Caenorhabditis elegans: one gene and its partners. The main gene of each other region encodes a partner of the protein of the gene in region 4 in a complex. Each region holds a gene or a part of one and is shown on either strand. Other genes may lie near its edges. The genes, in order: ctr-9, pafo-1, leo-1 and rtfo-1.

What was found.
Region 1: rtfo-1 (region 4) and ctr-9 share a complex: the UniProt entries of both Caenorhabditis elegans proteins name them as parts of the PAF1 complex.
Region 2: rtfo-1 (region 4) and pafo-1 share a complex: the UniProt entries of both Caenorhabditis elegans proteins name them as parts of the PAF1 complex.
Region 3: rtfo-1 (region 4) and leo-1 share a complex: the UniProt entries of both Caenorhabditis elegans proteins name them as parts of the PAF1 complex.

What each region holds. Positions count from the first base shown.
Region 1 is NC_003281.10:9,490,024-9,498,139, reverse strand, and holds ctr-9 (RNA polymerase-associated protein CTR9), read right to left. Parts: upstream 6,501-8,116; 5' UTR 6,483-6,500; coding exon 6,411-6,482; intron 6,250-6,410; coding exon of another isoform or gene 5,701-6,249; exon of another isoform or gene 5,622-5,700; intron 5,589-5,621; coding exon 4,638-5,588; intron 4,295-4,637; coding exon 3,353-4,294; intron 3,207-3,352; coding exon 1,967-3,206; intron 1,921-1,966; coding exon 1,768-1,920; intron 1,364-1,767; coding exon 1,269-1,363; 3' UTR 1,096-1,268; downstream 1-1,095. Other genes in the region: sod-4 (Superoxide dismutase [Cu-Zn]), read left to right, coding at 819-964; dars-1 (Aspartate--tRNA ligase, cytoplasmic), read left to right, coding at 6,931-7,026, 7,184-7,336, 7,383-8,116. UniProt on the Caenorhabditis elegans protein: Component of the PAF1 complex which is a multifunctional complex involved in transcription initiation via genetic interactions with TATA-binding proteins, elongation and transcription-coupled histone modification.
Region 2 is NC_003283.11:11,519,322-11,524,022, forward strand, and holds pafo-1 (RNA polymerase II-associated factor 1 homolog), read left to right. Parts: upstream 1-2,381; 5' UTR 2,382-2,444; coding exon 2,445-2,485; intron 2,486-2,536; coding exon 2,537-2,638; intron 2,639-2,687; coding exon 2,688-2,814; intron 2,815-2,868; coding exon 2,869-3,129; intron 3,130-3,181; coding exon 3,182-3,791; intron 3,792-3,847; coding exon 3,848-3,984; 3' UTR 3,985-4,063; downstream 4,064-4,701. Other genes in the region: C55A6.7 (DeHydrogenases, Short chain), read right to left, coding at 163-264, 312-836, 984-1,112; C55A6.11 (uncharacterized protein), read left to right, coding at 1,311-1,397, 1,635-2,060, 2,106-2,213. UniProt on the Caenorhabditis elegans protein: Component of the PAF1 complex which is a multifunctional complex involved in transcription initiation via genetic interactions with TATA-binding proteins, elongation and transcription-coupled histone modification.
Region 3 is NC_003282.8:11,326,792-11,331,568, forward strand, and holds leo-1 (RNA polymerase-associated protein LEO1), read right to left. Parts: upstream 2,579-4,777; coding exon 2,523-2,578; intron 2,476-2,522; coding exon 2,079-2,475; intron 2,032-2,078; coding exon 1,858-2,031; intron 1,811-1,857; coding exon 1,716-1,810; intron 1,668-1,715; coding exon 1,568-1,667; intron 1,516-1,567; coding exon 1,185-1,515; intron 1,115-1,184; coding exon 975-1,114; 3' UTR 830-974; downstream 1-829. Other genes in the region: his-45 (Histone H3), read left to right, coding at 1-207; B0035.21 (Kinesin motor domain-containing protein), read left to right, coding at 565-668, 715-778; sart-3 (Spliceosome associated factor 3, U4/U6 recycling protein), read right to left, coding at 2,973-3,088, 3,141-3,435, 3,485-3,598, 3,656-3,993, 4,041-4,642, 4,702-4,777. UniProt on the Caenorhabditis elegans protein: Component of the PAF1 complex which is a multifunctional complex involved in transcription initiation via genetic interactions with TATA-binding proteins, elongation and transcription-coupled histone modification.
Region 4 is NC_003283.11:9,579,447-9,585,128, reverse strand, and holds rtfo-1 (RNA polymerase-associated protein RTF1 homolog), read left to right. Parts: upstream 1-2,484; 5' UTR 2,485-2,501; coding exon 2,502-2,656; intron 2,657-2,710; coding exon 2,711-3,077; intron 3,078-3,121; coding exon 3,122-3,590; intron 3,591-3,645; coding exon 3,646-4,212; intron 4,213-4,262; coding exon 4,263-4,455; intron 4,456-4,500; coding exon 4,501-4,591; 3' UTR 4,592-5,088; downstream 5,089-5,682. Other genes in the region: K09G1.1 (MARVEL domain-containing protein), read right to left, coding at 1-57; F25B3.2 (CTCK domain-containing protein), read right to left, coding at 5,183-5,254, 5,314-5,408. UniProt on the Caenorhabditis elegans protein: Component of the PAF1 complex which is a multifunctional complex involved in transcription initiation via genetic interactions with TATA-binding proteins, elongation and transcription-coupled histone modification.

The DNA of each region.
Region 1 (8,116 bases), on a different chromosome or scaffold from region 4:
AAAACTGTATTATGGGGACGTAGAATAAATGAATACGTAAAAGCGCTCTACACGGTGAACTGAAAACGCTCCGCCCCTAAACGTTGAGCCTCGTTATGTTTTGGCGGCAAAACCAGAAATTCAAACGTTTTCAATTATTTTTGCAGATATCACTCGCTTGTAATCATTTTTCCTATTTTTAACATGTTTTCCGTAGTTTCTTTATTTTTAAATTGATAAAACGAAATTCAGAATTTTGCCGTCGAATACCTAACGAGACCCAACGTTTATGGGCTGCGTCCTTATAATAAAATTTAAATGAATTTTCCTCCTAAAAATTGTCCAATGCATGCTTCTCAATGCTTTCCGGTATTAACCTCGACGCGAAATTTTGAGATTTTTGTTCCACGGTCTCGACACGCCTTTTTCAAAACCAAAATGAATTTTCATGAATTTTTCATATTTTATCGTTATGGGGTTATTCAAGTAATGTAGAAAAATGTATTTAAATACATTTGTGACGTCACAAATGTATAAAAATACATGTTTTTATACAGTTGTGACGTAATTTTTCTACACTTTTCAACTTTCCGACACTACTTGAATAACTCCATTATGGAAGCTTAAATTTAAAAAAAAACGTAAATTTAACCAAATCGTGAGAAAAACTCACAACAACGAAAATTTCAAATTACAGTGCTTTTTGAAGACCCCAGTTTGTATTTGACAAAACTTTGTCGTGTCGAGACCGGGTACCGTATTTTTGCGTCAAAAATTGCAATTGTTGTGTAATATGCTTCACTTATCTTCAAAACCCCAATAAACGTTAAATTATTCAGGAATTGTGGAAGAACGTATTTTGGAAACAACGACAGCATCCCTTCCTCCAGTTACACAATCTCAACCAATTGGATCTTCTTCTTATTATTATTCTACATTTTATCTTCCAATTATTTTATATTTCTTGCTATCTCGTATTCTTTAATTCGTCCTATTGTTTCATGCTTTCTTTGCTCCCTCCTTCTAGTCCTAAATGCCCTCGCTCCTCACGAAAACTGGTCTCAAATTGTAATCGAAAACTCTGCGACTAACGAAAACGAACTCACAGGTACCATTATTTGTTTGATAAATGAATTCATGTCAAAGATTGAAAGTCTTGGACTCGGTGATTAAAAACGGGAGAATGTATTGTGAGAACGAGCACAAGATGCTAGATTTACAAAGAGTACAAATAAAACATTTGTGAACAACAAAAATAAATAAAAACTTTAAATTTAAAAAAAATTGGTTCAGTCGCTGTCGCTCTCGATAACCTTCTTTTTCGGAGCATCACTTCCATCACTGTCCCTGGAGTTTCCACCAGCAGGTTTATCATCATCATCATCTGAAAATTTCAACATTTTGTATACGATTTTCCGAAAATTTGAAAAAATTTCATTTGTGCGATAATAGTCTAAATTTTAGTACAATTTTGAAATGGTTTGTAATTTTCCTTTAAAAAATTTGTAAGTGTTTTTTTTTCTTTTTTTTTTGCGATTTCAGGTATTTCGAAAAAATGTTTAAAATTTAATATTTTCAAATGTTCCAAACATTGTTTGAAGTTTTTTCCGATTATCACTGAATAAAAACTGAATAAAACTAAAAATCGAAAAATTTTCGTTTTTTGATTAATATTTTTCAAAATAAAAATATTAGTATTTTTTTCGATTTTGAGATATTTGAAATAATCAGGTATTTTCAGAAGGCGACATCCTCGGTTGTCGTTTTTTTTTTCAAATCTATGATTACCATCAGAACCTCCAATAATTGGCTTATCATCATTATCCGATCCAGAGCCAGATCCGGAGACTGATCCTTCATCAGAATCCACAACAGCCTTCTTCTTTTTCTTTTTTGTAGTTGTCTCACGATCACTATCACTGTCAGTTCGGGTTGGACTATCTGCAAAAAATGGAATTTTTTGAAAATCAGAAATCAATAAACTAACCAAACTCATCAACTGGCGGCCGCGGATCAACCTCATCATCCGATGAATCAGCAGCAGGCTTTGGTTTGTCATCATCAGAAGATTCCGATGAAGATAAGAATGCACGAGATTTTATCTTTGCTGATTGTTTTGCTGAGAGCTTCTCCTGTAGTTTTCGATCCCTCTCTTCCTTCCTCTTTCTCTTTTTCTCATCTCTTCTGTTCGAATCAGGTCCACCACTATCTCTACGTTCTCTCTTCTTCCTGGATGCCTTCTTTGCTGCCTTATCCTTCTTCCTTCGTTCTCTTCGTTCACCATCTTCACCTCCTTCCTCTCCATCATAATTTCCAGCATCAGAACTATCATTAACAAACTCATCACCATCATCATTTCGTCGTTTCCGTCCACCACCTCCTCTTCTCTTTTCTTCGACAATTTCTGGAAGTCTGAGAACATCTTTTGTCATTTCTATGAATGATAATCTAAGATTCTTCATATCTTCGAGCTTCTGTTTTTCAGCTTCTTCCTTAGCACGAGCTTCCTCAATCATCTTGTTCTGCAATGCTATCTTCTCTTTCTCTTGCTTCTCCATAAGACGACGTTCTTCTTCATCTTGAGTCTGTGCAGCTGCTAATTTATGCTTTGCTTGAGTTAACAAATCCTTGCAATTTTTAGCTTCTTCTGCGCAGATTGTTCTCGATATTCGCATTCCAGTATGGCTCGATTGACGATCATCATTTTTAGAGATGTATTGGAAAATTTTGTCGGCGAATTTGAGATCATCTATAGCCGCAGTCACTTGTTCTGATGTCATTTTGTGACCTCGAAGTACTTCTTTTGCAGATTTCTTCAATACAATAGCATAGTTAAATTTCAATTGGGTATTATCCAATTGATCAAGCATTGCACATTCAAGTGCTTCCTTGGCTTCATTCAACATATTTGCTCGGTAATAGGCCTTTGCAAGATAGTGTTGCAATGTCGAGTCATTCTCCTTTCGAAATTTTTTCATCGCAGACGAATACATCTGAACAGCAGCCATCCATTGCTCTCGTTCCATGCAAACGTGAGCTATATTGAGCCAGACATCGTAGAATTCACTGGTAGACTCGCGAACTTGACTGAAAACATCTCGAGCATCATTCCAGTTTCTTTTATAAGCAAGCACACATCCGATTCCATTTGCAGCATACATGTTTTTTGGTTGAAGTTTCAATGCTTTTTGATACATTTGGAGAGCTCGGTCAATGTACTTTTTCTCCTGAAACAAAATATTATTAAATTGTTTGAAAATAAAAATTAAATATATTGTTCATTCTTTAATAGTTAAGTACAAAATGGTATCGATTATAAAATTTAATATGAATAAATTTCAGAATGCAAGTGATAAAGCAATAAAAAACCTACATCTTCCTTTTTCCTTGATGGATTGAGAAGCTGCTCGAACCACACATTACCAAGAGCTACCAGCGAGTATGGATCAGGAATTTTGTTGTTGAAAATCTTCGACAAAATGAATTCAAACTTCTTCTGGGCAGGCATCCATTCATTCTTTGCAAAATGAAGATTTCCAATAAGAGTCCAAACAATTGGTGATGCTTGATCAAATTGAACGCCTTGTTTCAACCACAAAGACGATTCATAGACTTGATGACGATCACGAGTGATACATCCAAGACGAAGATATCCATCAATATATCCAGGACATTCTTTCACAATATCCTTGTACATTTGTTCGGCTTCAACAGTACGACAAAGATGCTCCAAGCACAGAGCCAAATTGTAACGAATTGTGAGAAGGTGCGATTTTTCAGGAGCACTTCTACGTTCTAAAAGTAGAGACCCTTCATCAGTATTCAATTGTTCTTCAAGACGTTCTTTAGCTCTTTTGAAGTGATGTTCAGCTTTTTCATATTGCTTCATTGACATATACAAAGCACCGACGTTGTTGAGCATTTCGGGTTGTGGTTGAATACTCTCATTTGTTACAAGCAAGTCGATTGCATTTTCATACAATTCCAGAGATCGTTTTGGATCTGTTGCTTCGAGAAGTTGAGCCAAGTCGATGCATGCTTCATAGTCATCATTTTCAACTGCCAGATATTTTCCAAGAACATCCCGTCCCTTTTGCCGTGCTTCTGCTGTTTGTGCCGGATCGTTTAGCTGAACATGAGCATATAGACTTCCAAGAATTTTCATCGTGTCTGTATTGTTTGGCAATCGTTTATGAACAGTATCGAAGCATTTGATTGCTTCTTCAATTTCATTTCGATGAATGTACATTTGACCAAGTCCATAGTGAGCAAGGGTGTGCTCTCCATTGTTTGCTTGTCGAGCTTGGTAGTAGTACTGAAAGTAGGATTTTACACGTATAATATTCCAAAATGGCCAAAACACAAAAATTTTAGGTAGATTTTTGAATATTTTCAGTCGAAGCTTTCGTAAATTGGAAAAATATGAAACTTAAAAAAAAAGGACTTTTTGAGAATTTAGAGCAATGTCTTTCGAGACACGAAATAAGAAAATTTCAAAATTCTAGAATATTTCCGTGCATTTTTTCTGAAGCTTTTTTTAACATAAAAATCATTTGATTTTTCGATTGCTTTCAGGATTCAATGACAAAATTCCGGGGTTTCTTTCGAGTTTTTAATTTTATATTTTTAGTTTATGATTTGAAAACTCAAAAACAAACCTTATAAGCACCGTCAAATTGCCCTTGTGCATGCCTGCATCTTCCCATTTGATAGAAAGCTTCAGCTTTTATCGAATCACAATCATTATACGTTGCTGCATGCCAGGCAAGTGTCCATGCACGCTCAATTTCTTTTTTGAAAAAGAAATGATTAGCAAGATGAATAAGAGCAACTGGATGATCAGTTTGTAAATTATAAGATCTTCCAAACAAACTGACTGCGTGTTTGAGGCTGTCATGGTCGTACGTGTTCAACAGAATAATTCCCAAACCACACATGGCCGATACATTATATGGTTCAATTTCCATGGCTCTTTCGAATGCCGTTTTCGCTTTGTCCATCATTCCCATTTTAGCGAAGCAGTGACCGATTCCGACTCGAAGATCTGCGATTGTGTGACGACATTGTCGAATTGCTTTTCGAAAGTAATAGATTGCAGTTTTATAATCCTTTTTATTGAATGCGATTACAGCTTTTCCAATCAACGGGAGCACATTCTTCGGATTGGTTTTAACGACATAATTGAATTGTTGATCAGCAAGTTCATACTTGTTTGTACTTTTATCTCGTTCAAAAAGATAAAACCAAGCACGAACTGTCAAGTGAGACCATTCATACATCGCAATTTTATCGGCTGTGTTGAAAAGAACTGTAGCTTTCGAGAAGAAATCACTTTTCTTGTCCTTGGCCTTCTCTCTGTAACCTTGAGTCATCCAGTAGGCAGCAAGTATATCCAATGCTCTCATTTGATCCTGTTTTACTCCTTCATACTCCAATCCAGCACGAGATCCAGCAGATTCTAGAATCATCATGAATAGATCAACACGATCTTGTCTGTAATATTCGAGAGCAACTTCAATCCAATACGATAACTTTGCTTCTTCTGCTTCCAAAATTTGAAGGACTTCTTCGCCATCGGGGAGCTCGGAGCAGTTGATTTCAATTACTTCCTGAATAAGTTTTTCATTATTTGATTCAGAAAATTAATTTTTCAAGATTTTATTTCACGAACAAACATAAAAAACGTTTTTTTTAAACAATATAATATTTAATAAAAATCGATCATTGTGCTTCGGAGGCCACTAATGCGAATAATTTGGAAAGAAGGGCGACATCAACAAATGGTTCATGTTTAAATGTGAGAAGGACAAGAGTAAATACGTCCCGGCTGTCATTTTGAGCGAAATCGAAGAGCACGTCTTGCTTCACTTTCAATTCTTTCTTAAGCATTGTAATTATTAACGGCAAATTCTCGTCAAGGGTCTCCACAATGTACTTTTCTTCAATATTTTGACTTTTTTCGGTCAATTGCTTCCAAGCTGACATTCGTCCTTGTGCAACTTCGAATTTTCCAATAACTTTCTCAAAATCACTCATAGTTTGATTCAGTTTTGAATTCATAACAACAATCTCATTGAGAACACGATCAGATTGATCTTTTGTTAGTTTTGCAGACTCCTCTACATCAACTTCTCGCGAATATAGCAGTTTCAGACGTGAATTAACTAATGATTCCAAATATTGGACTGATTTTTCAGAAGCTGTCGCCCAGTTTTGCATTAAATTCCAGACTTCGATTGAGAAACGGCGGAGACGTTTTAAGTGCGTACCCTGAAATTCAAAAATATCGATAAATCAAGTCGGTTGGCTGAAATAAATTCGAAATTTGAAAGTCCTACCGACATGATGAATCAATATTCCCAAATTTCCTCACTAAGAAACAACAACGATCGATTTTTGAAATTATGAACACTTTTGAAACAAAAACTTACATCTTCGTGACTGTCTTTCAATGGAATAGCGATTGTTCTGGTCTCTTGCACATCATCAATACTTTCGTCCATCTCCTTGGACTTTCTGACCTGTAAAAAACACAAATTAGATCTTTCTTGACAAATATTCAAGTAATAGTACCCAAGATTGGGAATTTTAAAGATTAAACGTGGTAGTAGACTTTCCAAGCGCTGATGCAGAATAAATCATGGATTTATGATAAACTCACTTTAATTCTTACAAAAAGAATAAGCAAATGAATAAAATATAAAGATTAAATAACGTTTAACTTTGAAATTCAAGAAGAAATTGAGAAAAACAGGATGCAAAAAATATCTTTTCGAACGAGGCGCGATGCGCGTGAAGTGTAACGCATTGTACGCAGAGAGCACAAACATCAGAACTGACGCGCATACACACTTCATCATTTTCAGCCCAAATTGTAAACAAATTCCTTATTTTCAAGCTAAAATTTAATTTTTCATTGGTTTTATAGATGCTAATTTGTTTCAGGTGATAATGGCTGATGCTGCCGAAGGTGAACAACCAAAACTCTCCAAGAAGGAGCTCAATAAGCTTGCTAGAAAAGCTAAGAAAGATGAGAAAGCTGGAGAGGTGAGATTTTGTTAACTATGCTCGTTAAAATAGGGTTTAGTCTAAATTTATAGAGTTATTGAAAATTCTGTTGAGCTATTTATTTTTAAAGTAAATAATTTTCTATAACCTCAAATGCTATTTTGAAATATTTCGCAACTAAGCAATATAAATTCAGAAAGGAGGAAACCAACAACAGGCTGCCGCTATGGACCAAGAAGACGCATCCAAAGACTTTTATGGATCATATGGGCTTGTTAACTCTAAGGAAAAGAAGGTGTTGAACTTTCTGAAAGTCAAGGAGATCAACGTTTCCAACGCAACAAAAGACGTGAGTTTTAACAGAGGATATGCTCATCTTATTCACATTTTTGTAGGTTTGGGTCCGTGGGCGCATTCACACTACTCGATCGAAGGGAAAGAATTGCTTCCTCGTTCTCCGTCAGGGAGTCTACACCGTTCAAGTAGCAATGTTTATGAACGAAAAGATTAGCAAGCAAATGTTGAAGTTTGTTTCTTCTATCTCAAAGGAGTCTATTGTTGACGTTTATGCTACTATCAACAAGGTTGACAATCCAATTGAATCTTGCACACAAAAGGATGTCGAACTACTTGCTCAACAAGTATTTGTCGTTTCAACTTCTGCTCCAAAGCTTCCGCTCCAAATTGAGGATGCATCACGCAGAGCACCAACTGACGAAGAGAAAGCCAGCGAGCAGGAGAATCAATTGGCTGTTGTTAATCTCGATACAAGACTTGACAACCGTGTCATCGATCTTCGTACGCCAACCTCTCATGCTATCTTCAGAATTCAAGCCGGAATTTGTAATCAGTTCAGAAACATTCTCGATGTTAGAGGATTCGTGGAGATCATGGCTCCAAAAATTATCTCTGCGCCAAGTGAGGGTGGAGCCAATGTTTTCGAAGTTTCCTATTTCAAAGGATCCGCCTACTTGGCTCAATCTCCACAACTCTATAAGCAAATGGCTATTGCCGGAGATTTTGAAAAGGTCTACACTATTGGTCCAGTATTCCGTGCTGAAGATTCTAACACCCATCGTCATATGACCGAGTTCGTTGGACTTGACTTGGAAATGGCCTTCAACTTCCA
Region 2 (4,701 bases), 1.9 Mb from region 4:
ACTTCAATGTTAATTCTATTTCAATACTTTATCAGAAAGAAGTTTCTAAGAAGTTTGATACAACACATAAACAATACAGATTTAAATAAAACCAAGAAGAACACAGTGAAAGTAAATCAGTCGTACAACAATCATTAAATGGATAAAAAAGGGCTGAAAACTTTAATACGGAATAATTGAAAGATCTCTTCGGAAATATCCGCCATTGTGTGTTGCTCCTAGTTTGTTGAATGCCGCCAATATTTGTGAGGAAGATTCCTCAATCTGAAAAGGAACAATTATAACTATGAAATTCAAAAGCATGATCTTACAGTAAGTTGTCCTTTCCCTTTACTCATATCAGTTTGAACCATTCCTGGACAAATTCCAGCTGTTAAAATATGATCATCTTTTAGATCAATTGAGAGAGTTTTTGTAAACTGATTCACCGCACACTTCGTCATTCGATATGCCATTGCTTTATATTCACCAGAACCACTGGTATTTTCAGAAATTGAACCAAGAAATTCGGATGCAATATTAATGATTGCACCACGAGAAACGGAAAGTGTATCGCCTTCCTGTCGTTTCGAAGCTTTGATTATGAGTGGTACAAGGCTTTGTGTAAGCATCATTGGACCAATTGTATTTGACTCAAACAAATCCAGAACAACTTTTCGATCAGGTTTTTGTTTTGTTACATATGGAAGCATCACAGCTGCATTATTTATAAGAAGAGTTAATCCAGATTCTCCAACAATTTCAGACACTTTTTCAGCAAAATTTGCAATTGATTCATCGGATCCGAGTGAGAGTTGAAGAATGTGAAGTCGTGGATCACAAATTCCCTTGAGAGCCTGAAAAATTGGAAATTAAGAATGCCGTAGTCCAATACATGTTGTTGGGAAATTTTTACCATATACAAATATTAGGAACACAAACCTAATACAAATAACTATAATCTCAGCAACGGATAAAGTATAAATAAACTCGAAAAAACTTACAGTTGCCTTATCAACATCTCTTGCAGTCGCAATGACATGCTGAACATTTGGATCTTTCAGAAATTGTTGAACTAATCCAAATCCCAATCCTCGATTGGATCCGGTTACCACAACTGATTTTGGAGACATTTTCACTAGAATTTAAGCATAGAATTGAATTAACAGAAATCGAAAATCAATGAATGATGATTATTATTTCTTATCAATAGTATTTCTCTTCTGTTCTGCAAAATAAACAGCGTGATGAACTGCCACAATAATTAGTTTGGTTTATTGCAGTTTTTAGTTTATTTCGGAATTTCTGAGAAGAGATCAAAGAATTAGACAATGAAGAAAACTATGATAATTTCGATTTTGGTTAATACAGTTTTGCTCTTCAATCAAGTGTTGGTTGCGAACGGGGAAAATGTGAATGTAGGTTTACACAGGAGATGTTATAAAGGACTTTCCTTGGTTCTATTCCTGAGCTTTTCCAGTTGTCCCTGGGAAATTTTCTTTCAAATATTTTTAATGAAAGAGAAACGATAGACAAAAAAAGATAGACAAAAAACTAGGCGCAATTTGTTTTGCTATTGTTATGTTTTTGTAGGTTATGAGCAATTTCAAAATAAGATCTTTCTAGAAAATTGTAAAAATATTATTTCATTCAAGGTATCCTGCCCAATTTTATCCCGAACTCGACACAAAGAACTTCGAACTTTCATGTACAAAAACTGCACTTCCGGTTTCAAGACATGCTTTCAACAAATTATGCTCACTGAAATCGTTCGAAATGAGCAACACGCATTTCTATTTGCCTCTGGTTGTGCTTCGAAGGAAATTCTCAAGCCATTCAATCTAACCGAGGAAACATTCATGAAGTTATGTGACAAGAAAAAAGTGGGACGATGTGTTCATACATACCAGCATCGAGTTTATTATGGTACACTCTGCTGTGAAAGGAATTCGGAAAAAATGTTCGGATCTTGGCTGTGGGATGTTTTCTTTGGAAGTAGTGAAGAGCTAAATGCTGAAATGGAGAATACTGTTAGCTTTGTTCAGCGTGAAAGTATCGGAATGCACGATGATCATGATAATGTAGGCTTTAAAAGTTCACAACCCCACATTTATATAATTTTCCAGAAAGGAGCATTGGCTCTCTACATTGCTGGACCATTCATTGTCACCTTTATATTTACATTATTGTCCCTTTTACAATATTATCATGTTAATGATGGCATTTTGTCATAAAATAAATATTATCGTGACGAGAACGCTGGAAATTCACAAAACAAAAAATACTTTTTGAACACCCGCGCAAAACTGGTTATGCGCCATTGTTCCCTGCTGACGCGCATTGAGCGCTTGCGCAAAACCCGTGTGTGAGAGTTTGAATTTAATTCCCTCGGTGACTAGTTTTTTCGATTTGCAGCCGTTTCTGCCGATTGGTATCTTAATATTATAACTAAATTACTATAAAAAATGCCCCAAGAATCCTCAGATGCCAAAAGGATTGAACCTCCGTAAGTATTATTGTTTTGAATCGCTAGAAAAGTTTTGAAAACATTTTGCAGACGAAAAGTGGATTTCATGCTGAAACCTCGATTTACCAATACTGTTCCTGATGTCCCATTTGATGCAAAGTTTATGACTTGTCCATTTGTTCCTCTGGGAAGGTACACCAATTTTGAAACGTTTGACATTGTTCAATATCTCTGAATTTAGATTTGTCGAATTCCAACCTGCTGCCATTTATCGAGATTACAAGCATGCAGTCATTTGTGACGACGACATGGGTTTGAATGTCGATTTGATTGATCTAAAAAAATACGACGAAGATCCAATCGAAACTGTAGGTTTTTTCCTGAAATATACAGTTTCAAAGATAGAAATGTTTCACTTTTAGGAAATTGATGAGAAAGACAATATTTTACTGGAAGATGATGGCGCCGCTAAATTGATTGCAAAACGATCTCAACAGCATTCTAAACTTGTTCCATGGATGAGAAAAACCGAGTACATTTCAACTGAATTCAATCGGTTCGGTGTGACAGCCGATAGACAGGAGACGAAGCTTGGTTATAACTTGAAGAAAAATCAACAAGTTGAAGATATGTATCGTGACAAGCAGAGTCAAATTGATGCCATTAACAAGACATTTGAAGATGTAAGTACCAGAATATATTTTTTTGATTTAAATCTACTTTTGCGTATTTTAGGTTCGTAAACCCGTCAAGGAGCATTACTCCAAGAAGGGTGTAAAAGCTGTTGAAGAAAGCTTTGTCTTCCCTGATTTCGATCACTGGAAACACCTCTTTGCTCATGTACAATTTGATGGAGACACTATAACAACAGAATTCGAAGAAGAAGATGAACGACAACAAGCACGGGAGAGCAGTGTTATTAAAGCCATGGAATTCGAAGATCAAAAATTTGCAGCAGTTTTTGTTCCAACGATTGGATGTCTTACGAGTTTTATGGATGATCTTGAGTTAGAACGACCATTTGATGAGGATATGAAGTACGAATTCTTGCTAAGCCGTGAATACACATTTAAAATGGAACACTTGCCACCAAGGGATCGTGACGTCTTCATTATGTATCATCGTAATAACGTTTTCCAGTACAACGAAGTTGACTGTAATGTCAAGATGACAAGAAAACCAAAAATGGCATTGAGCAGAAAATCCAAATTGACACTCACATACCGAAATCCTTCCGAACTGGAACAAAAAGACATGAATAAAAGAGAGGCTGAGTTATACGAACAGCCAAAGACCAGAAAACAAGAGATTCTGGAAAAGATTCAAGAGAAGAAAGAAGAAGGTGGTGAGTAAATTTAAGTTTTGAAGTGTTATTTTCCACGCGAACATGCAATTTTTCAGGAGACAGTTCAGATCAGAGCAGTGATTCTGATGACGACAAGCCGCAGAAATCACGATCTGATAGCTCTTCGGACGTTTCATCAGATGACGATTCACCACGGAAAAAGGAACCGACTGTTGACAGCGACAGTGATTGATCTCAAATTTTTAAAATTGTTTTTCTATTTATTTTACCTAATCAAATTGGTTTTTCTCAGTAAACTTGATAACGATTTCAACTATTTGTTCGATTGATCTTCATGAATCTTCGCTAAAAGTGCAAGTATGATTTGACTCACAATTGAAGAAAAAACCAACAGCGGAAACACCAACACCCGCAAAGTTCTGTTTGTGTAGGTGTCTGTTGCTTGCGCTTATGTGCTCCACGTTCTATTCTTTGATTTGTCATGCGGAAGCAACAGGATCAGAGGGCAAGACGTTTAGTTTTGGGGGAAATTCGAACTACCGTTCTGATTGGAATGCGTATTGCGAAACATTGAATATATCCCGTAGCGAAAACTACAGTAATTCTTTAAATGACTACTGTAGCAATAGATTTTCGAAACTACAGTGCATTTTTTTTCCACTTCTACGACTTTAAAGGCGCGCGTATTTATACAAAATGGTCCCGTCATTGGTCTCGCCACGCGCTCAACAAATCAAAGGGATGCGCGTGGCGAGACCATTGCGCGAAAATGCGCGCGCCTTTAAAGTCGTAGAAGTTGTAAAAAAAGCACTGTATTCCAAAAGAAATTCATTTCAAAATTCCAGCCCGTAAATCGACACAAGCACTACAGTAGTCATTTCAAGAATTACTGTAGTTTTCGTGATACTTTGAGCGTCAAACATGTTACGCAATATGGATTCTCATAATT
Region 3 (4,777 bases), on a different chromosome or scaffold from region 4:
CAGCGCCTTGTTCGTGAGATTGCTCAGGATTTCAAGACCGATCTTCGATTCCAATCTTCCGCTGTCATGGCTCTTCAGGAGGCTGCCGAGGCTTACCTTGTCGGACTCTTCGAGGACACCAACTTGTGTGCCATCCACGCTAAGCGAGTCACCATCATGCCAAAGGATATCCAATTGGCCAGACGCATCCGAGGAGAGCGCGCTTAAATACCTTTTTTGGTAGTTGAGCAAGCTTAATCTCAAAACTTAACCGAACCCAACGGCCCTCTTTAGGGCCACAAATATCCTCAAATCCATTTTAATATTCAATGAATACTTTTTTCAATTTCAATTTTTTTAAATTTTAAATCTTTCGGACATAGTGGTTCCGTGTATATTATAATATGATTGATTCAAAGATTTGTTGTTAGATGTAAAAATTTATTAGTCAGTTTCTTTATCAAACGTGAAAAATCATTTCCTACATTTTCCACAAAGATGTTTAAAATACTCTGGAATCAAAAGTCAAAACCTATAGTTTTTCGAATTTTAATTTATGGAATCTTCTTTCAAATCATTATATTGATGTTTTTACTGCGATCGAGAAGCTCTGGAAATCAAGAAGAAGCTCAGTTGATATTAAATGTATCGATTTCCCCAAGAGCAATGGAAAACGATAAAACACGGAGGTTTGATTTTGAGAATTCTGAAATCGTAGATTATTTCAAGTTTCAGAATTTATGATACGACACTTGATGCCAATTCTTTGAGAAGCGAGGAAGACGTAGTGGATGTATGATTTTAAATATTACATACAATCTGATTGAAATTAAGAAATAAAAGCTCGGTTTTTCATAATATTGTGGATGTTTCATTATCTCGAAATATCGAAGACTAAAATAAATAAGGAAAGGAAAACATTTTCGAAATATTGTAAAGGGAGAAATATTGAATTCGCGAAATATAAAATTGTGAGGATCAAAATTGAAATAAATTTAGTCAGATTCTTCGTCACTGGTGACAATCTGTTTCTTTTGTTGTTGTTTTCTCTTTCGGTACTCTTCATCAGAATCGCTATCCGATCCGCTTTTCTTTGTGGTATCCGCATGATCGTCCTCACTTTCTGAGCTGGCACCTGAAATATATTATTGTAGTACAGTTTCTTTATTCTGGTAAAGTCCTAATCAAAATTAAATTGAACTTACCAATAATTGGTGCTTCCTTCTTCTTTCCTTTTCTGGATGACGTTGGCATATCTTCATCATCAGAATATTGTCCTGCATATCTCGGACCACGAACTTTAAAGTTATTCCGAACCATCTGAGTACGTCGGATGTGTGCACGAAGTGATTCTTCCTCCTTCCGGGCATTCTCACGCCGTGTAATTTCCGGATTCTGACCAACATCGTCCATGACTTTAACTTGAGCATTCTTCCTGCTTCGATCTGCCATATTGAGTGTGACTTTTCTGTGAGTTTGGGAATCAGTCGAGTGAGGACGGAAGGTCATACGATGTGTAAGAACAGCTTGAGCCGACTAAAAATGACATAAATTTTGATTAAAATAAAAACATTAACAATCAAAATACCATTAATGTTGGCTGCTTAACGTAAAGATGGGGAAGATTATTGGAATTCAGCGGCACCAATGAGACTTCGAAAATTTCGTTTCCGAGGTATAGAGACATTCTGAAATTAAGTCACGATATGGAAATTTTGCATCAATTGAAAACTAACGTTCCATCGTCCCATTTTACAATTTTTGCATTACTCTCTCGAATTTCTTTTCCATTTTCATCTTTGCGAACTCGCCAGCGAAGTGTATTTTCCACCTTAAAAATTGTATATTTGATGAGATGTATTTATAACACAGACATACTCTCAATTTGAGACGTGTTCGTCCTTCATCATCCAATTTCGCCTGCTCATCATCTTCGTCTTCCTCGTAATGTTGTGGATCAAATGGATGAGTGGCGACTGATAGAAAGTTTGGCATTCTGACAAAATGTGGTGGATCTGCAGCGTACTCCAAAGTAACACGACCTGTTACCATCTGGAAAATCAATGTTTTAATCACATTATTTCATTGAAAATGTTTACTTCAGTATCATGAACATGCTCCTTTGCTTTTTCATCTTCATCTATTTCATCTGGATTAGCCATCACAATTCCTTGCAAATCATTCAAACTTCCACGACTCTCCGCATCGGAATCTGACAATCGTGCTCTTGTATTTGATTCTTTCGGCTTTCCTTCTCTGTCGGAATCATCGTCGGAAGAGCCAGAGAGATCACCGAACAAACCACCACCAGCACCGGGGGAACTCTTTTCACCTCCTCCTCTCGGATGAATGTTATCGTCAGAAGAATCGGACAATTGTCGAGGAGCAGGACGAGAATCATCATCATCGTCGGACTCATTTAATATCGCTCTTTTCTTAGACGGTTCTTGTTTTTTTGGTGAATCTGGCGACGATCCACGAGAAGATGGAGTTGATCTGAATTGAATTATATTATTTTAGAAACACAATTACCATTTACTTACGATTTAACTGGTGTTCCTGGTGCAGAAGCGTCAGAATTACCCTCAGAAGATGACATCTGAATTGAAAATATTGCATACCTAAGTTCTTTGAATAGCGAAAGTAGCAAAACAAAGTAATAATTTGGGGTCGAATATACCGATAAAAATTGAATAATAAAAGTAGTTGTTGAAAATTCAGATTTTCTTATCCATAGGCAATAAGTTGAAAATGAATATTGGGGGATCTCTATTACAAATTATTAGCAAACAAAAAGAAAACAAGGATTATGAACAGTTATGAAACTAAATCTTGCAATTCGTAGTGAAGAACAAATATAATTATAGCGAGAACATCAAAAATAGCATCTACCGGAATTTTAATTGGAAAGGAGACACTGGGGAACGTAATAGAAATTAAATAACTAAATGAATCTTGATATGAACAATGAAAGTTTCTGGTGAAAAACGGCCCTAATTTTTCATAAACATTTTACGGAATTGATCATTTGAAAGTGGCTGAGACGTTGAAGTGCCTTCGGAAACATCCATTGCGTCCAGCCGAGCAGTGATTTGAGGAGTTTTGTTTGCTGAAAATGGATTTTTTTATGCTAAGCTGGGAACTAAAGATGATATACTTACTAATAGCTCTGGGAACCAATTGCAGTTTTGCAGCATGTCCTTTTCTAGGTCCATCTTCTTCCAAACTTGCTCCAATTGCTGCTGGTTTTCCATGCGATTTATCCTTTTTTACTGGTGGATTGGATAACGCTACCTCTAGTTCTCTTTCTCGAAGCATCAATTTATCACCAGAAGCAACACATTTTTGAGCACTTGCTTCTGTGTCAAAATCTACGAATGCGATTCCTTTTGGTTTTCCATCTTTATGAGTCACGCGTCGAACACTGGTTACTGTACCGAATTTCGAGAATAATGCCTGAAATGTATCGATTTAGAATATAAAATGATAGATAAGTATATATTACCTTTAACTCATCGTCGGTTGCCTGGAAGTGGACATTGCGAACGAAGACTTTCGATTTTTCAAGAGTGGTTGAGAATTTGAATCCAACCCGTTTTTCTGGATCGTTGGCGGAGATCTGAATTTTCAGAAATTAAAATTTCACAAATATTTATAAAGTAAAATTAAAACTTACAAACATTGGCCTTCCCTTCACAGGAACTCGATCTTTCAAGAGAGCTTGCTGTGCCTTCTGATCATTCTCCATTACAACATAGGCGAACCCTCTGTGCACAAGATCCGAATTCGCTTTTCTTGCGAATCGAATTGAAGCAACACCTTCAATGGCTTGTCGAATTTCGTCTTCCGTCGTAGTGAAATCGAGATTAGAAACAAAAATTGTGCGAGCATCTTCCGTTCCTGGAGCTGCTTTCTGAACTGCAAAGGAACCTGGAGCTGGTGTCGACGAAGCATTTGAAGAGGATACAGCTGATGAACTTTTCGCATTGGATGGTGGAAGTGGAGCTTTGAATCCTAAAATTTAATTCAAATTAACTTCTTTACTTTTAAAAATTATTTACCTCCGTCGTCTCCTTTCACTTTTTTTACAATTGGTTCACCTCCCGACGTTCTCTTCTGAATATGATCTTGCTTTGATTTAGGAGCTGGAGCTGGTTTCTCAGAAACTTTCTTTTGTGGTCGAATGGCTCGATGAGCAACCTGTGAATTCACTTTCTCAAGAACCAAATCCAACTCAGCCAATGTTCCTTCTTCTCTTTCAAATTGAACATAGTACATATAGATTTCGTTGATGTTATCCGATACAGAATTGAGAGCTTTGTTTAGATATTTTCGAGCATTTTCTTTATCACCGAATTGTCGCTCAAGACGAACAGCTTCAATCCATTTTCCGGCAAATCTTCCGAATCCTGATGCAAGAATATCATTCCAGATATTTCGACATTTGTCCATGTTCTTCATTAATGAAGCATAGAAATATGCTTGCATTTGTCGATAATCTGCTGTAGTATCCCAAGCCATTGAAAACCATTCTCTGAGTAGCGCTGCACCTTCATCAAACACTTCAGCCATTGGAGAGTAATCCGAAGAACCAGTGAGATGAATTCGACGGCGAAGCAAAAAAGCATAGGTACGGTAAAGACTCCGTCCTTCTTCGGCAGAACTGAAATTACACCGAATAAATATATAAGACTACTGTATGTATTCAAAAAAGAAACTAACTTGATAACATTGCTTCTTGCTCGTTCCCATAATGCATCAATTTCCTCATTTGGCCGACGATCTCGTTCGAAGGCGA
Region 4 (5,682 bases):
AGCAGTGGATCGAAGCGCCGTAGCTACTGATTTTTCGTCATCTGTTTCTTTTTTCATTGTCTGTCGACTGGGCAGTCAATCAAGAATGCAACAAAAAAAAACGAACGACAATAAGAAGAAAAAGAAGACGAGAAGGACTGTAACTAAAGTTGGGAGACCAAAAATGAGAGAACGGATAGGAGGAGCTGACATTTGTTTTGATATCGAAAGTAATGTATATATTATTATTATTCAAGACTGAAAGTTAGAATTGAAAAAAAGAAAAAAAGGTACGGTCTGGAAACGAAACTTTGAAGAAAAGGGAAAAAGTTTGGAGCCATCCTTAACTTTTTGTCTTGGTACACTGTTTGCTCAGCAATAGAGATTGAACGGGAATGGTTTTTGGCAAGAAGAAATAGGTGAAGCACTCAATAAAAAATAATGTGTGTCTCTAAGAGATTCAGAGAAACATTCCTCTTGTGACGTGGCACTTCAAGCATTGAACAGAGTCATATCTTTTACTTACTCCAAGAAATTTTCAAGTTATCAAATCAGTTGAATGACTGTCTAAGTCTCTTTAATTTCAGTAATGTCTAGTACTAATCATTCGAGGTGTGGCATGATTGATTTGTTTCTTTTTATTTCATTTTGGTGATGAAGAGAAGAAAGAAAATAAATTAAAATCACCTAAAATTGAAGTCAAGTAGTAATCTTCCAATCGGCTGGCAGGTAGATGAGTAATCATGATGAGTTCTAATAAAGTAGTGAACGTTGCAGGCTCATAGCCATTTCAAATATTCAAATTTTCAATATTCATTCAGAATGCGTGATGAGAGGTACGTCGTCACGCAATACAATTGCCGGTTTTGTGAGAAGGAAGAGAGATCGATTAGAATGAAAGTGATATAGAGAGGAGAAACCACTTGGCTGGATAAACATGTACTTGATGGTTAGAACTGTCGGAAAAGCAAAATGGATTGTGTTCGAGAAAATATGAACATTTGGAAAGTTTTGAGTTCTGAAGCTTTAAAAGAATAATAAGATAAAATACGTTCACAAAGTCTTTTGAAATTTTATACGGGCAACTCGGACTGAAAAAGTTAGACAATCAATGTGAAATCGGGTTTTTTACAGAAAGTCTCTATATTTAGCGTTAAATTAAAATTGAATGTTACTAATGTGAACATTTGTTGAATTGGACATCAAGATTTTGTTTCGCAATTATTTACCGTAATCTTGAAGGCGCATATACAAATATATAGAGGGCCGTAAATTGATACGAGCTACAGTAACTCGTTGTCCGAGTGGCGAGACCCCTGCGAGTAAAGTATAACCAACATTAAAATATCTAAACGTCTGCGTTATACGGAATTTTTTATGTATTAAACACAAATGAGTCTCTCTTAAAAACTCGTAGAAAGAAAACATGCAGTATTTCAATAATCAGATAACTTACCAAAATTAAACTCTGCCTCAGCTGCTCCTCCATTGTGTCGATGGGATTCGAACCGCAAATTCTTCATTTTCTTCGAAAACTTCGCTTACTACTTCTACTAATTGTCGAATGGCAACAGGAAACACGAAAAGAAAGATTATCCTTTATTTCTGATTCTCTGTATCTCCAGGTCTACCTAAACACTTTAATAGAACAACTGTTCACTAAAGAGCATTTGATCTTTCTTTTTTCGTTTTTTCTTCTCTTACATCGTTTAACCTGGAAAAGGGGTTGTATTTCCGTAAGCCATCTACCCTTGTCTCTTCTTATGTTTTTTTCTTGATTAATGGTTTTTGAGAATACTGTGAGAGCATAAGAGATTTGAAAAACCTATAAGAACACTTCGGATTCCCACAGGATGGGCACTAAAGAATTAGTTTTTCTAAACTTCAGAAAATGGGAGTGTCTCTCAATTTCCTTATCGATTATAAAAGTGTTTGGTATTTATATATAAATCCATTAAATATACATAGCTTGCACCATGACCTACAGCAACAGAAGCCAATATCCCAATTGTGTGCGACAACCTTGCAAAATAGCGTGCGCGGCTTGCAAAGTGGGCGGGACTAAATGTATTGACACTGTGCAGTTTGAATGTAAAAATTTATTCTTAATTTTCGGTATTTTCTTTGGTTTTTCGTTATTATAATTGATTTTTAATGATTCTTTATTATTATCTTAATTCAAAGAGTAGAAAAACTTTATTGCACCCGTCCTTTTTGTTTCTCGAATCCAATATTGACACATTTTTTGAGAAACTTAAGTTTTTTCTTAATTTTTCGAATATTTTCGACAAAAACGCGCATATATCATTAAAAATATGACACTTTTCCTTGTTTCTTTTATTTGTTTAAATATTTGTATGAAACCTATTGTTCGTAGCCATCTTGCAACTGTGTGTCGATATCGATTTTCCCAGAACAAATGTCAGACGCTCTACATCACTTTTATACAACCGTTTCTTCTCACCGTTCTCTAATAATTTATTCAATTCATAATTATGTTCTCAGGGTCAGTTTAATCAACAATGTCTTCCTCTGAGAGTGCTTCATCAGACGAAGAGACAAAACGCCGTGCTCCAGCCACTTCAGATTCCGATTCTGACTCAGACGCAGGTCCAAAACCTGGAAAACCTCTCAGTACCGACTCCTCGGCATCCGATTCAGATGCCGAAAAACCACAGTGAGTTTTACTGTTTTCTATCCAAAAAAAAGTTATACGAGTTTCCATTTTCAGGGCAAAGCCTGCAAAAAAGAAGACTTTAACAAAGCGAAAGCGGCGAGCTACTGGAAGTAGTGACGATGACCAAGTAGATGATGATTTATTTGCTGACAAAGAAGACAAAGCAAGATGGAAGAAATTGACAGAATTGGAAAAGGAGCAAGAAATTTTTGAAAGGATGGAGGCTCGTGAAAACGCGATTGCTCGAGAAGAAATTGCTCAACAACTTGCTAAAAAAGCAAAGAAAAGTTCTGAAAAGGGAGTCAAAACCGAAAAACGAAGGAAAATGAACAGTGGTGGAAGTGATGCAGGTTCCCCGAAACGCAAAGCTTCATCGGATTCCGATTCTGAGATGGATGCTGCTTTCCACCGACCCAGTGATGTAAGTTTATTTTTTTATTTTTCAAATAAAAATTTTTATTCCAGATTAACCGCAAACATAAAGAGAAGAATGCTATGGATGCTCTGAAGAACAAACGTAAAGAGATCGAAAAGAAAAATGCAAAAAACGAAGCACTCTCTATCGATGCTGTTTTTGGAGCTAATTCGGGATCTTCAAGTTCGTCTAGTTCAAGCGAAAGCTCTCGTTCATCATCTTCTTCCCGCGAATCATCACCAGAACGTGTATCCGAAAAAGATAAGATAGTAAAGAAAGATGTTGATGGACTTTCGGAACTTCGAAGAGCTCGATTGTCCCGTCATAAACTTTCATTGATGATTCATGCCCCATTCTTTGATTCTACTGTCGTAGGATGCTATGTTCGACTTGGACAAGGGCAAATGAGTGGCTCAGGAAGCAAATATCGGATATGGAAGATTGTCGGTGTGGAGGAATCCAACAAAGTCTACGAATTGGAAGGAAAAAAGACAAATAAAATCATAAAATGTCAGAATGGTGAGTTGTTTATTTACTTGTGAAAATTTGAAATCTGTTACAACCTTAACTGCAGGTGGATCAGAACGACCATTCCGTATGCAATTCGTTTCAAATGCTGATTTCGAACAAATTGAGTTTGATGAATGGCTTCTGGCATGTAAGAGACACGGAAATCTTCCAACCGTCGATATTATGGATAAGAAAAAACAAGATATCGAAAAAGCAATCAACCACAAGTATTCGGACAAAGAAGTCGATCTGATGATCAAGGAAAAGAGCAAATATCAAACAGTTCCACGAAATTTCGCTATGACAAAAGCTAATTGGTCCAAGCAAAAAGAGCTGGCTCAACAACGAGGTGACATTCGAGAAGCCGAACAAATTCAAACTAAAATCGATGAGATTGAACGACAAGCTGATGAATTGGAGAAAGAGCGAAGCAAGTCAATTAGTGCGATTGCGTTCATTAACCATAGGAATCGATCAAAAATAAAGGACCAAGTCCTGAGTGGGCAATTGAAGATCGAAGAGAATTCACAGGATGATCCTTTTACACGTAAGAAGGGAGGTATGCGTGTTGTTTCTGGATCTAAATCAAGACTTGACGGAACTCTTTCCGCATCTTCATCAACCACAAATTGTAAGTTAATAGGAAATATCAATTTTTTGACATAACTTTATAATTTTCAGTATCTGACGGCGGAAAAGACAAAAGTTCATCATTGGCTAAACCGACGCAACCTCCTCCATCTACTCAAATAAAGAAAAAAACTGATATATCCAGTCTGCATGACTTTGATCTAGACATCGATTTGGGTAAATTGAAGGATTTTAGTACGCCGGAATCGTCAGGAAACAAACGTCCATCAATTAGTTCTTCCAAGTTAGCACATCTTATAGTGGACTATTTTAATTGCTATATTTTCAGAGGAGTGTCACTTAGTGATTATCGAATGCGTCGATCAGGAGGTGGTGACGCTGGATCCTCCACATCAGCTGCACCATCCTCAGCAGTTTGAACTGTCTTTTTCTACATCTCTTTGATTTTCTCAGCGTTACCCCCCTCATCCCTCATCGTTACGTTTTACTTATTTTCTTTCGTTTTATAAACTGATCAAAACTTGTTCAATTCCTTCATTATACTATTCCGTTCATTTTTTCCAATTTTTGAGAACACATTTTTTTAGCTTTTAATTTCGTCAGAATAAAATAAATCGTAATAAAGATAGCAATTGCAGAATGCAAGAAATGGAACATTTTATGAATCCTTCACCGTTTGTTTTAGATCTTTCCCACTCACTGATACTCCTCACCAATCCCAAACCTTTAATTTTAAATTTTCTATGTGATTCTATTGATTTTCACCCTCATTCATCTTTTCATGTTTTATTCCTTTTTTGATTCCTTGTGACTACTGTATTCCTAGGTTAACGGATGTAAACCAAAAATCTGTGTGAATTTTTTGAAACTTTTCTAATAATTTTTCGTGCAATTAATGAATAAACTCAAAGTTCTTTTCACGTTTTTATTCCATCTTTCAGGATTAGAAACCCGGTATACAGAAATGGTTTGGAATGTGAACGAAGAATTGTAATTTAACATCTTAAGCGCTACAGCTCTTTACTCGGCTTGGCTCGAAGAAATGAGCTTTTGCTCAGTGAGCATTGACAGGCAACAGGGAGCTGGAAAGGAAGGGATTAGATTATTTCGAGATTAATACAATAAGAGAAATAAGACAAACCTGGATTTGTTCAACAATCCAATCCTCACAATTATCATCCCCTGTGTTTCGTAGAACTTTGAATGAGAGGGTCTGAATGCCACATTGACCATGAGCTGGAAATATATTTCAATCACAAATTACATGTAATCAACGGACCCCTCAGTTGAAAAACGTAGAACGCTCTCATTACGTAAACGTCCAAATTGATCATTTTCGCCATACAATACGTACATGGGTCTCGCCACGCAGACATTGACATACAGTAGCTCGTGTCGATTTACGGGGCCTACATTGTCTCATGTTTTAAATATTAGACGAACAATTGCGCCAAGACTTTTTAATATGCAAATATGAGGCAATAGCGGATCATACGTCGGCACGAGCTAC